Linked DNA regions of Xenopus tropicalis. The protein of the gene in region 1 purifies or fractionates together with the protein of each later gene. This does not show direct contact. Links are inferred from orthologs where the notes say so. Each region holds a gene or a part of one and is shown on either strand. Other genes may lie near its edges. The genes, in order: chuk, pias1 and map3k7.

Region 1 (4,052 bases):
TTTGAGCTACTGCTATAAACCTATATATTTGCAGGCAGGGTGCATTGTATGCACCACTTTCCAGCCTGGCCCAAGATATGCCGATTTGAATAAGTAACAGGGGTGCTGAGGGTGTTTAATGCCTTTGGGCTGCTGATTTAAAACTATTTTCAGGCAGTGATTCCTCATATTGTATTCACCCTGTTCTGGCCTGGCCCGAAAGGATTCTGGAAAGGATAAGTGGCTCCAAAGTGGGCATCTTTGCAATTCTGGCTTTCTGAATAAGTAATGGGCTGGTTGAAAAGGTTAAATGACCTTGGGCCACAGGTAGATTGGCAGGCAGGGATCCCCCACATACTATGTATCTTGTTCTACCCTTGCCTGTAACAGTTCTGTGCAGGAAAAGTGGCATTAGTTTCTAATATGGTCCGATGAATAACTAATGATTTAAAGGGTTAAATGACTTTGGCCCACTGATTTCAATGTATATGCACAGACAGGGATGACCTGCATTATATTCATATCTTTTCAACCTGGAATGGTTTTGGGAATGAAAAGTGGCATTTAGGTGGGGAGTATGGATATTTTGCCTGTTTATACTAGTAACTTGTGTTTTAAAGGGGACCTGTCACCCAGTCATAAAAAGCTGTATAATAAAAGTTCTTTCAAAATTAAACATGAAACCCAACCCTTTTTTTAAAATAAATCATTCATACCCGTTATAAATATATTTAAAAATCTGAGCTGTCAATCATATATTGCCTGCCCCGCCTCTATGCCGCAGTTTGAGCCAGGCTGAAATAAGATGTATGCTATGCAGGGCATCCCTGCCTGTCAATCTATACTTTGATAATTGTGTCCCAGATATCAAAGTATAGATTGACAGGCAGGGATGCCCTGCATAGCATACAGCCTGGCTCAAATCATTTAACCTCTTGGACACCACTGTTACTATATTTACACATATATAAAAGGCTTAATTGCTAGGATGCCCATTATGGTGCCTCATTTCATGCCAACAACCATTTTGGAGCAGGCTAGAATGCACTGCATACTATACATTCCAGAATGCTCAGGACCTGGGGTTTTCCGGATAAGGGGTCATTCCTTAATATGGATCTCCTACCTTAAGTCTACTAAAAAAAATTATTTAAACAGTAATTAAACCCAATAGGATTGTTTTGCCCCCAATAAGGATTAATTATATCTTAGTTGGGATCAAGTACAGCTACTGTTTTATTATTACAGAGAAAAGGGAATCATTTAACCATTAAATAAACCCAATAGGGCTGTTCTGCCCCCAATAAGGGGTAATTATATCTTAGTTGGGATCAAGTACAGGTACTGTTTTATTATTACAGAGAAAAGGGAATCATTTAACCATTAAATAAACCCAATAGGGCTGTTCTGCCCCCAATAAGGGGTAATTATATCTTAGTTGGGATCAAGTACAGGTACTGTTTTATTATTACAGAGAAAAGGGAATCATTTAACCATTAAATAAACCCAATAGGGCTGTTCTGCCCCCAATAAGGGGTAATTATATCTTAGTTGGGATCAAGTACAGGTACTGTTATTACTACAGAGAAAAAGGAATACAATGGAGTCTATGGGAGATGGCCTTTCCGTAATTCGGAACTTTCTGGGTAATGGGTTTCCAGATAAGGGGTCTGATACCTGTACTCTGAACTCAGTTACCCAAATCCATTTAACCCCTTTAAAAGTCAACCAAAAAAAATGAAATTTTGCTAACTTTTCAATATAAATTTATTTAATAATTGTAGTGCTTTAAAGGAGAACTAAAGCCTAAAAATGAATGTTTTTAGGGTTTGCATTTGCTTAACTCCTGTTTAAAAACCTTCCTAGACTCAATGTTGCACAGTCAGCTGGCTTGTGTTATATTGCATCAAAACAATGTAACACTATTAATGTAACACATTGTTTTAACAGCAATAATATATACAAATTTGTATGAATGTATATTGTGAAGTTGCTTAGAATTATGTCTTCGCTTATTAGGCAAAGAATCAGGGTCGGAATGGGATTCCCAGGAAAAAACCCGGTGGGCTCCAGCGGCCCAGACCCAATCCCTGTTACCCAGGGGCCCTGCAGGTGCCCCAGCCGTGTCCCCTAACCCCCCCCCAGGGGCCCCCCTAACCCCCCCCGCAGGGCCCCCGCCTGATGTCCTCCGAGAGCGCATATAAATTGAACGCGTCGGGGAGGAACAGTCAGTAGGGGGAGCGCTGGCAAAGGTCGGACTGGGCCGCTGGGGCCCTCTAGGGCCGGGGCCCACCGGGATTTTTCCCGGTGTCCCGGCGGCCCAGTCTGACCCTGCCTGTTACCGCTCCCCCGGCCGCCGGTGTCCTCCCCTGACGCATTTCACTTACACACATTCAGGGGAGGATGTCAGGCAGGTGGCGGGGCCCCTGCGTGGGGTTAGGGGGGGCGCAGCTGGAAGAGCACCTTGGGGGTGTGGGGCCCCTGGGGTGGTAGCCCCGGTGGGCCCTAAACCCCCCCATAGAATTCTTTTTTTGAATTGACGTCCTTTAAACCACTAGTCACCTATTCAATAAGGCAGAATTGCATGATGGCGAGTTTTGTCATGTTTACAGTTCTGAAGGAACTCGTTCCATTTATACGTGACACACAGACGTCTGGATGAGCCAGAGACTAAGGGCAGGGGGGTATAACAAGTTCTGTTCCGCCACTTGTGCTCCCTCTAAAACAAAATCACACACAGCCCATAGTGTAAATTCACCCCCACATGCATTTACACAACTTACTTGGAGTAGGGAAGTGTCCTGTGTTGTTGTTTTACTCTTCCTCAGTCCCTCTTTGATTCACTATTTTGCTTCACTTCCGCCCATGTGACTTTCCTCCAGGTGCCTGCTGGGTCCTAATGCTCACCTCTAGCCTCGCCACTCACAGCTCTCCTGGCTTCCTCACAGGAGTCCTTTGTACCTTTAGCACCCTCTAATGGTATTTATATGTAAAGGATCCAAATATCACATTAGATTGTCTAAATAAAAGGAATAAATTAGATTATAATTATTAACTTATATGTATAAAGCGCCAACATATTCCGCAGCGCTGTACAATACATTGGGCATACAGACTTACATACAAAGCAACCAATAACCGATACAAGAGGTGAAGAGGGCCCTGCCCAAAAGAGCTTCCAATTTAAAAGAAGAAAGGGTTGTGGGAATGGGCAACATCAAGTTGTGGGAATGGGCAAGATCAAGGTGTGGGAATGGGCAACATCAAGTTGTGGGAATGGGCAAGATCAAGGTGTGGGAATGGGCAAGATCAAGGTGTGGGAATGGGAAAGATCAAGGTGTGGGAATGGTCAAGATCAAGGTGTGGGAATGGGCAAGATCAAGGTGTGGGAATTGGAAAGATCAAAGTGTGGGAATGGGCAAGATCAAGGTGTGGGAATGGACAAGATCAAGGTGTGGGAATGGGCAAGATCAAGGTGTGGGAATGGGCAAGATCAAAGTGTGGGAATGGGCAAGATCAAAGTGTGGGAATGGGCAAGATCAAGGTGTGGGAATGGGAAAGATCAAGGTGTGGGAATGGGCAAGATCAAAGTGTGGGAATGGGCAAGATCAAGGTGTGGGAATGGGCAAGATCAAGGTGTGGGAATGGGAAAGATCAAGGTGTGGGAATGGTCAAGATCAAGGTGTGGGAATGGGCAAGATCAAAGTATGGGAATGGGCAAGATCAAGGTGTGGGAATGGGCAATATCAAGGTGTGGGAATGGGCAAGATCAAGGTGTGGGAATGGGCAAGATCAAGGTGTGGGAATGGGCAAGATCAAGGTGTGGGAATGGACAAGATCAAGGTGTGGGAATGGGCAAGATCAAGGTGTGGGAATGGGCAAGATCAGAAGTCAGCAAGATGAGAGATGTAGCATAGGGTATTCAGTAGCACTCAGTAAGTTCTGCTATACTAAATGAGGGGAAGCTTCTCTAAATAAATATGAGATGGGAATGAGAGATAAGGTTAGTAGAGAAGTGTAACCACCAGTTTGGTTGGTATCTATAGATGATTTTAGAGATGTGGGGCAGAGAT
Region 2 (4,290 bases), on another chromosome or scaffold:
CCAACATATAATTACAATATGATGTTAGTGCCATGAGCATCTGATGAATAGTCACTATGCCCATGCTTCATTTCCTCATTGTAACTAATTCCTCAAGTATGCACAAGGCATTTCTTAATGTTTAGAACAACAATACCTAAGTCCTCCTGCATATATTCATCTACTTATGTCAGATTGTTTATAAGCACCAGTATATTAGTCATGTTATTGTTTCAGAGGCAGAACTGCAGTCAGAATCAGGCCCTACTTAGTACTTGCACATAATTACTTGTATGCGAGCTTTCCATGCACAGCTATAGAGGTTAATGAAAGTTATTAGCTTGGTCAGACCAAACATTGCAGCATACATCGTGTCCTCAAATGGTAGAATCATGCCAGTTAATGCCCACCAATTTAGCAGACAAGCAGGATAAGCAGCTTATCCACCCATGTATGGGGTCCCCACGACAGGGCCTACTCAACCGATATCTGGACAAAAATCAGGCAATATGTCAATCAGGTAGGTTTGATTTCCCCATAGGATTGAAGGCCACATCTGTGGGTTGACTGGGTCCTCTATTCGACTGCCTACATGGTGACAATTATGACCCAATTGTTGGGCCGAGGGCCAAGCTATCAGCCTGATATTGTCCACCTCAATGTCATCATGGCCATCTTAAATTGCAGAGAAAAGTATAAAAACTAGCCATGCATTCAAAAGGGGCAGCAAATACCATCATCTTATATTCCTACGCTACACAGGGCAAAATTTAAAAATGAAAAGCGTGTTCTAATTCCTGATACCTACATGCACAATCAAAACAAGTCAGCACACCACTGGAAAGCCTTCTGTGTAAACAAACCCCATTCTTTGCTCAGCTTTAGCCTGTCAGGCTTTCAGATACAGAGCAGAACATAGCCTGCCAAATTTGCCCACTGATTCATAGTATCAAAGCAGCCTGACAGGCCAGCAATTGGATTATACTGTGGGTCTGTGTGCTTCAATGCAGCTCACTCCTGTCTGGAGAGGGTATACACATTAATCACACAATTACTGACTGATTCATTAGGTAAAGAAGGCTCTGCCTGTTATATCTTACAATATCTCACAATCTAAAATGCATACATTACAATGTATAAATATATGAATTACACAATTAAAATTACAAAGTACACTGAATATATACAGGTGCAACAGGCTATTCTTAAGCACTTACTATAGTACAACAGTACTAATGCATAGCCTTGATATACCAAAGTCAATAAAATGACAACTCCTTGCCTCAGACTAGGGATGCACAGAATCCAGGATTTGGTTCCAGATTCGGCCAAGATTCCGGCTTTTTCTTCAAGATTGAGCCGAATCTGTGGGCCTGGCTAAAACAAATCCTTCAAATTATGTGACTTTTCACCATATAAAAGCTGAAGTTGAACATTTTTCACCACGTGCGGTTGTTTTTACACCTTCTGTGCCTTCATTTTCATAGGCAAGTTAGGATTCGGTTTAGTATTCTTTCATGAAATATTTGGGGGATCAGCCGAATCCCAATACAGTGGATTTTTGAGAGATGCAAGTTACGGTACAGCACATCTGTGTGTTTATCAGACAGCACACAGGCTCCCAGTTAAGAGAAGATGGTACAGCAGGAAGAAAGTTTGCTGCAAGCGGTGCCCAATGCATAGAGGGGAAACTTGGAGGAGAAAGCATTCTGTGAAGCCCCTCTATCAGCTCTACAAGGGATGCAAGCCCACCAGGTACTATCACTTCCTATCAATCAGCAGAGCAACATGATGTCTGGGGAGAGAGACAGGGCCATGCAGAGGAAGGGTGGGGGAGGGGAGGCGAGTGGGGGAGGGGAGTTAGCGGAAGGGTAGCAGGCACAGAGGATCCCTGAGCATGGTGACAGGAGATAGGGACATGTAAAATAAACGTAAAATAAACAGCAATTTTATAAGAAATAGAAGCACCTCACACGCACCCCAGATCTCTGTATGAATCAGCCGAAACAAGCAGCTCAACCCGGGACTCTGCAAAGTGAACATCAAGCCAAACGTTTTTAAGATCCCGAATAAACGCTGCTTATTTGTCAGCACAAGATAGGAATCCATCCCCGAGAAATGTTATTAAATGAGAACTGTTGCTTGGCAACCCTGACAGCCCCCCCCCCCCCGTCATTACGCCGGGCTTAGCGGGCAGGACTGTGTGCGATAAAGTATCCTGGAGCCGACAGATCCCCGAATGAAGCGGAATAAAGTCCACACGGCGCAGAAACTTCCTTTCATTAAAGTATCGCACATCCCCTGACAGCCGCTTGTCAGTAGTGATGGATTGGGGGGTCGGGCAGCAACAGGAGACGCGCAACATCGCTTATTAAAGAGACCAAGTACCAAGTAGGAGCATCTTCCTCTCACTCATCCCTTGGGAGAGCTCCCAGCAGCCCCTACCGTGCGCCCTGCCCGGGCTGCCGCCGCTCACATTCCCTCGCTCCGTGTGTGCATCAGGACCCTCGCCCTCCTACCAGCCTAACCAACATGCCCTCACCAGCCCCCTCCACCCGGGCAGCACCAACAATAACAAGGGCCCCTCTGCCTTACACATGCAACATAACTCCCTCTGCTTCCGGGAGCCGCTTCTGCGAGTTCCCCCGGCCATTCGCTTCAACACACCCGACCTCCCAATTGCCAATACATAGCGGAGACCGCAATCCCGGTCCCGCAATTCCAGCTGCGCTTTACCTTCAGTTCCGCACTGTCCGCCATCTTGCTGCTTTGCGCGCAGGCGTAATGAACCCGCCGCGACGTGGCTCGGACGCGACTCGTTGCGTCACTACGCAGGATTCGAAAAAAGGCGCCAATTGCATAAGCTGCGAGTTGTATAAGAGCGGTGCTGCATTCGGGTGGGGAAGAAGAGGGGATACGGTGCGGCTCACATTAGCCCCTCTTTTTGCGGGGAAAGTGTTGCGGTCCTATAGCTAGCCTAAGTGCTGTCGGTAACACAAAGGCTAGGTAGATTGGTGGAATAGACTATACTTATATTTATCATGCTGTGTAAAAAGTGGAGTGAATCATTACTGGTGATGTTGCTCATAGCAGCCATTGAGATGTTTTGCTTTGGTGTTCTTGAAACTTGAAATCTAATAGCTGATTGGTTGCCCTGGGCAACATCACAGGTAATGCATCACTCCACTTTTTGCATAACATGATTAATATACCCCATCCTGTGTTCCTGTATCAGGCCCAAGCATCGCGTTTAGGGAGTTTACACAATACGAGTCCTCCAAAGCAAAAGTGAGACATTTTTGTCTTATTTTAACTTGAAGGCTGACGTATTAAAAAATTTTGTCCATCATTGCTTACAGTTCTTTAACATAGGTGCCTCCTGGGAGAAGGTGTGTTGCTAGATTTTGCCTCAGTAGAAGCACCAAAAAAGCCACTCATTGCTCATTGTCACAATTGGTGACACACATTAATTGTGTCCAAGTGCCTCTATTACCTCTCTGGTAGTCCTTCCTCCCACTAATAGCTATTGTTGTTAGATATATACACTGTACAAGCTGGAGCCTGTGTGGCTTGTCGGCTTGCCCAGACACACCAATTGGCCTATGGCACAGGGGTTTATTCCTCACTGGTTAGATTGTGACCATTCTGCCCGTCACTCAGTTCATAGATATTGAATGGAACTGCTGGTTGCAGGCAGAGCTTGACCAGAAAATTGTTTCTAGACAAAATCTGTCTGTCTCTGCTATAGACAAGACAAATGGAAATGATCAAACACTTCTGCAACAGCAGACAATATGCCAGTGTGCCCCAAGCCTTGAAAGACAAGAAAGCCAAACTGACTGGGGGGTAAAAAAACTGGTCACCCACCAGTAACTCTAACCTAGGACCCCATGGCCAGTGTTCTTCTTCTCTAAAAAATGCACTGGACCTAGGTACTTTTTATTGTACCGCTACACTGCACATGCATTAAGGTGTGATCCACTACAGTCATTTGCATGTGTAGGCACAACACTACCCTCCTCAAGCCCTGTGTCTATTCCAGGTTCCTATATATCTTATTAAATTACACACAATGAATCAAAGCAGGCTGAACCTGTGGATGTTTGTTAGGTCAGTGCTATCCAACTTCCGTGGTACTGAGGGCTGGAATTTTTTTGGCCTACATGGTGGAGGGCCGATATTGGAAGCAAATTTTGACCACTCCCTTTTTTAAACCACACCCATGTTATCACAAGGGCTTTAAAGACCATATCTACATTAATGGTGGCAGCATACCAAAAGAAAACAAATGGTTGGTGTTCACTGCAGGGA
Region 3 (4,198 bases), on another chromosome or scaffold:
GAAAGAGATACAGTGTGAGCAGCCATATTGTGTGTTAGACTTGAAAGAATAAAAGTCTGCTGGGCTGCCAGGAAGGAATCAGTCCTCTGTGGTATCTCTAGTGTGTGTCCCCTGCTGTGAACAGGTATTGTTCGTTTGCCTGCTACGTGGGAGCAGCCACCTTTATAAAGGGAAGGTACTCTGGGGCAGGTAGCGCTACCTGGGGGGACTAAAGAGCTCTTGGGGAAGGGACTGAACTAACCTAAGGGTTGTGGTTTATCCGGATCCAAGTGGGGATTGGGCATCTATAGAGACTGTCGGTGCCAGCTGTGGATAAACTACATGGGTTCCTCAGAGCAGGAAAATCAGTTGTACATAAAGTGTTAACTTCCAACTCCAACAGTTATATAAAGTTTAACATTTCTGCCAAACCTGTGTGTGATTATTTCCTAGTGGAAATCCCCTAGAGGTGTGTTCCTCAGTGTCCACTAGGTGGAGGCACTGCGCTGTTCCCAGTTCCCAGTATCAATATTCTTTGAGAACACACATCTCCTGAAAATACAGCCATATATAAGTGAATGTGCCAAGAAAGGGTTACACATACATACCTGTTCTCACCAGGGGACACACACGGAGATTCCACAGAGGACTTTGTAATCCCTGGCAGCCCTGCAGACTCTTCTTTTTTCAGTCTCAACTCACAACATGTGGTACGGGCTGCTCACTCTATATCTCTCCTCCAAAAACTGGCAAAACACCTTTATCAACTGCTGCCCCCCCCTTGATTTTTGGCTCCAAACTGGGGCATCCAGCCAGCACTTGCCTGAGGCTGGAGATCTCCCTATAAAGTTAAAGGGAAAACCCAGCTTCTGCACAATTGTGTCAGATTTGTGACAAAATGTGCATACAGTTGTGGGAATTTTGTCACATCAAATGTAGTTGTGTAGGCGCAATAGTGATTGCAATTCAGTGGAAAAGGCTGCATTGTGGGGAAAAAATGCACTCAGAATTCCACTTTGTTTACTGCACTTGCCTATAAGAGTATATTTCTATACTTTCACTATTGGTTATAAATTAAGAGCAGGCACTGAGAAATGATTTCTGGAAGTTTTAAAAACCTAACAACACTTCCAGAGACAATTTATTTCGGAGGGCAGATAGTACCGTCATATAAGACAGCAAAACGTAAACAAAACAGCAGAGCAAAAAAAAAAAAGACTATATTGTAGAAAGAATTTTCATTTTGTCATGTCAATAAAGTTGTATAAAAAAACTATCTTTCCGAACACGCCTCACTTTGCTTCTGTGCAAGACGACATCACGAAGCCCCGCCCTGCTTTCGCCGCCGCTCTGCATTAGGCCTGCGCTTCTTCGCCTCTACCTGTATGGTCGGATCGGAAGTTGGCCAGCGCATCAGCGGCTACAGTAGTAGCAAGAGAGCCCTCCCCTCTTCCACCACAGGCCCTGGCTCCAAGCAGGCTAGGCCCAGCAGCCCAGAAGGGGGTTACCTGGTCCTTGATGGGCCGGGGCCGCCCGTCACGTACAAGTATTACGGTGGCTCCTGTTAAACCCGCTCTGTTTTCCCCAGCTGTGTACCCCGGCTTCCGCCGGTGGGGTCCCCGATTTCTCTTGTAAGGGCACGGCATGTCTGCCGCCTCTGCTGACATGATTGAGACTCCACCGGTGCTAAACTTTGAGGAGATCGACTACAAGGAGATAGAGGTGGAAGAGGTGAGCCTGCGGGGTGACACGGGCAAATGGGCTAAAGGCAGATCTCCAACCTGCAGCTTTTCATTAACATATAACTTCTAGCAGTTGCTGCCAGTAGTTGCACTTTACTGACCGCAGGTTGGACTTTCCCCGCTTATTGTTTGTAAATATTTAGTCCTATTCATTCTTTGCCAGAGAAAGTTCTATGGAGACAAATCTAGTAGTAAAGACACCCTTAAAGGGGAAGTTCACTTGTAAAGCAGCTATTAGGTTTTTCCTGGCTGGCCTATTCTCGGCAACTATTCAATTGATTATTTCTAATTTATATGTTTTATGGTTTTTTTTAATGATTCCCCCTCCTATCATTGCCATTTTACATGTTGCAATTTGAAAATGTCAGTTTTTTGGGGGACACTGTCCCTCCCCCAATTATATAGCTGATACTTGTCTTTGGCTTGTCTTTGTTTAGAGTTTCTTTCCTTTTCATCTTTCTGACTTTCCAACCACTGCCTGGTTCAAGGTAAACATTCTAAGTTGGATAGCTGCAGAGCAAAATGTGAAATAATTAAAAAAAAACAAAAAAACAAAAGAAATAACTAAAGAACAGTAGCAAACTGTCATAACATTCAGGTGAATTGCTTCTTGAAAGACTGCGTTTGTCCCAGACAACATATCTGTACATTTGCCGCTGATATGAGGCATCAGAGGTGACAGGTAGCCCATCCATTTTTTGTATGATTTATTTCATATATTTCCCAATGGCTTGCACATTCCATGCATCTCCATAGTGGTACAAACTTTGCTTGGAAACCTCTTTTTCTATTGGTTTCATCTGTAATATTAATGCGATAGCAAAACAGATTAATTCATAGTTTGTCAAAGAATTTTGTTTTTAAATTATCAGAAAACACAATGAAAAGACACTTGTGAAGCACCAGTTTTATGTAGTTGTTTTTATTCTTACCGCTGATGCATGTGTTTGAAGTATGACCATATTTATAGCCAAAAATATTGGGTAGGCATGTTTTCTGGTTGTAGTCACATGGGTGTCGTGCCGTACTCATGGTGATTCCTGTTGAATGTAAAGGGGAAGTGATGTTCCTCTAAATTATGTTAATTTACCCCAAATCTTGTCACATTAGTCTTATTGACGTTTTGCTTTTGTGTATATGCCATTTTCAAGCAAAGGCCAATTGGATATTCTTACGGTGGCCATGCACGAGTAGATTTTAGCTGCAGATTCGGGTCCTTTAGAATGATTCAGCAGCTTATCTGCCCATGTATGGGCACGCCTGCCAGGCCTACCTGACTACATCGTCAGATCCGCCACACACCCATCAGAGCTGAAACAGCAGATAAGGAGGAAGAAACAATAGGATTTCTACCTCCTTCTGCCGATTCAGCCCTGACGGCAGATTTTGGTCAGGCGCCTTCTATGGCGCCCGATCAAATTTTTTTAACCGGTCCGATCGGCGAGTCGACCGATATTAGCAGTTTCCTGCGATATTGGTCGACTCGCCGACATGCCATACACGCACTGAATATAGTACGAAAAGAGGTTTCGTACGATAGTATCGGTGCGTGTATGGCCAGCTTTAGATCTGCCCTAAAATTAACCAGATCTTGGTCAGATAGGTTTGATTTTATGACTTATAAGGGACTGCATCATTTGGTCCAAACTTGCCCACCTAACGAGAAGATCCACTCGTTTGGCGAACTCTCCAAACAAGCAGATCTTAAAGTGTGTGGCTGCCTCAACTCAACATTGTGAAAGTTCATCAATCTGGAATCGGTGAAGGATTGTTGTCTGATCCAAATTCCCTTGTACAGGAACATGCAGTATATTTTCCTGTAGAACCATGGGACTTGATAGCATAGGTTAGGTTTAATGAAACCATCAGGGTGAAGACAGACAGAGAAACTAGTCGCTGCGATTTTAAAAATCCAGTCTAGGTGACTTATTGGCCGCCACAAAAGTCTTGGATTTCTTACTGTTGCATGCTATTATGATATCTACTGGGAGCTGATATCTTGCTCCCTTCCCATTGTTCTGCTGATTGACTGCTGTGGGAGATTAATATCGCTCCAACTTGCAGTGCAGCAGTAAAGTGTGATTGAAGTTTTTCAGAGCACAGGTGACATGGCTGTGGCACCCTGGGAAATGAAGGATATGGCTAGCCCCATGTGAAATTTCAAAATTAAATATAAAAATCTGTGTATTTGAAAAATGGATTTTAATGCAGGATTCTGCTTCTCTCTGGAGAAGCTCCATTAACTCATGTGTTTTGGAAAAAAAAACATGGTTTTCCATGACAGTATCCCTTTTAAGGTGCATTTTGCTGGCAGTGCCTCTTCTCATTCTATGTACTGTTAGGGCAAAGACACACGGAGCTGCTTAGTAGCAGCTACTTGCGACGGCTAGAAAACTCCAGAAAATACCCTGCCACAGACAAAACTTGAGAATTGCCTCTACACATGTAGAGACAATTACCAGTAAATGATCAGCATT

What was found.
Region 2: the proteins of chuk (region 1) and pias1 purify together in Homo sapiens (affinity purification with western blotting; 3 studies listed by BioGRID). This does not show direct contact. The link is inferred for Xenopus tropicalis from reciprocal best matches to the Homo sapiens genes CHUK and PIAS1.
Region 3: the proteins of chuk (region 1) and map3k7 purify together in Homo sapiens (affinity purification with western blotting; 9 studies listed by BioGRID and IntAct, with this or other methods). This does not show direct contact. The link is inferred for Xenopus tropicalis from reciprocal best matches to the Homo sapiens genes CHUK and MAP3K7.

The regions. Positions count from the first base shown.
Region 1 is NC_030683.2:110,589,916-110,593,967, forward strand, and holds the start of chuk (inhibitor of nuclear factor kappa-B kinase subunit alpha), read right to left. Parts: upstream 2,802-4,052; 5' UTR 2,763-2,801; intron 1-2,762.
Region 2 is NC_030679.2:117,659,227-117,663,516, reverse strand, and holds the start of pias1 (E3 SUMO-protein ligase PIAS1), read right to left. Parts: upstream 2,819-4,290; 5' UTR 2,740-2,818; coding exon 2,716-2,739; intron 2,693-2,715; exon of another isoform or gene 2,575-2,692; intron 2,100-2,574; exon of another isoform or gene 1,959-2,099; intron 1-1,958. UniProt on the Homo sapiens protein: Functions as an E3-type small ubiquitin-like modifier (SUMO) ligase, stabilizing the interaction between UBE2I and the substrate, and as a SUMO-tethering factor. Catalyzes sumoylation of various proteins, such as CEBPB, MRE11, MTA1, PTK2 and PML.
Region 3 is NC_030681.2:84,978,593-84,982,790, forward strand, and holds the start of map3k7 (mitogen-activated protein kinase kinase kinase 7), read left to right. Parts: upstream 1-1,395; 5' UTR 1,396-1,623; coding exon 1,624-1,710; intron 1,711-4,198. UniProt on the Homo sapiens protein: Serine/threonine kinase which acts as an essential component of the MAP kinase signal transduction pathway. Plays an important role in the cascades of cellular responses evoked by changes in the environment.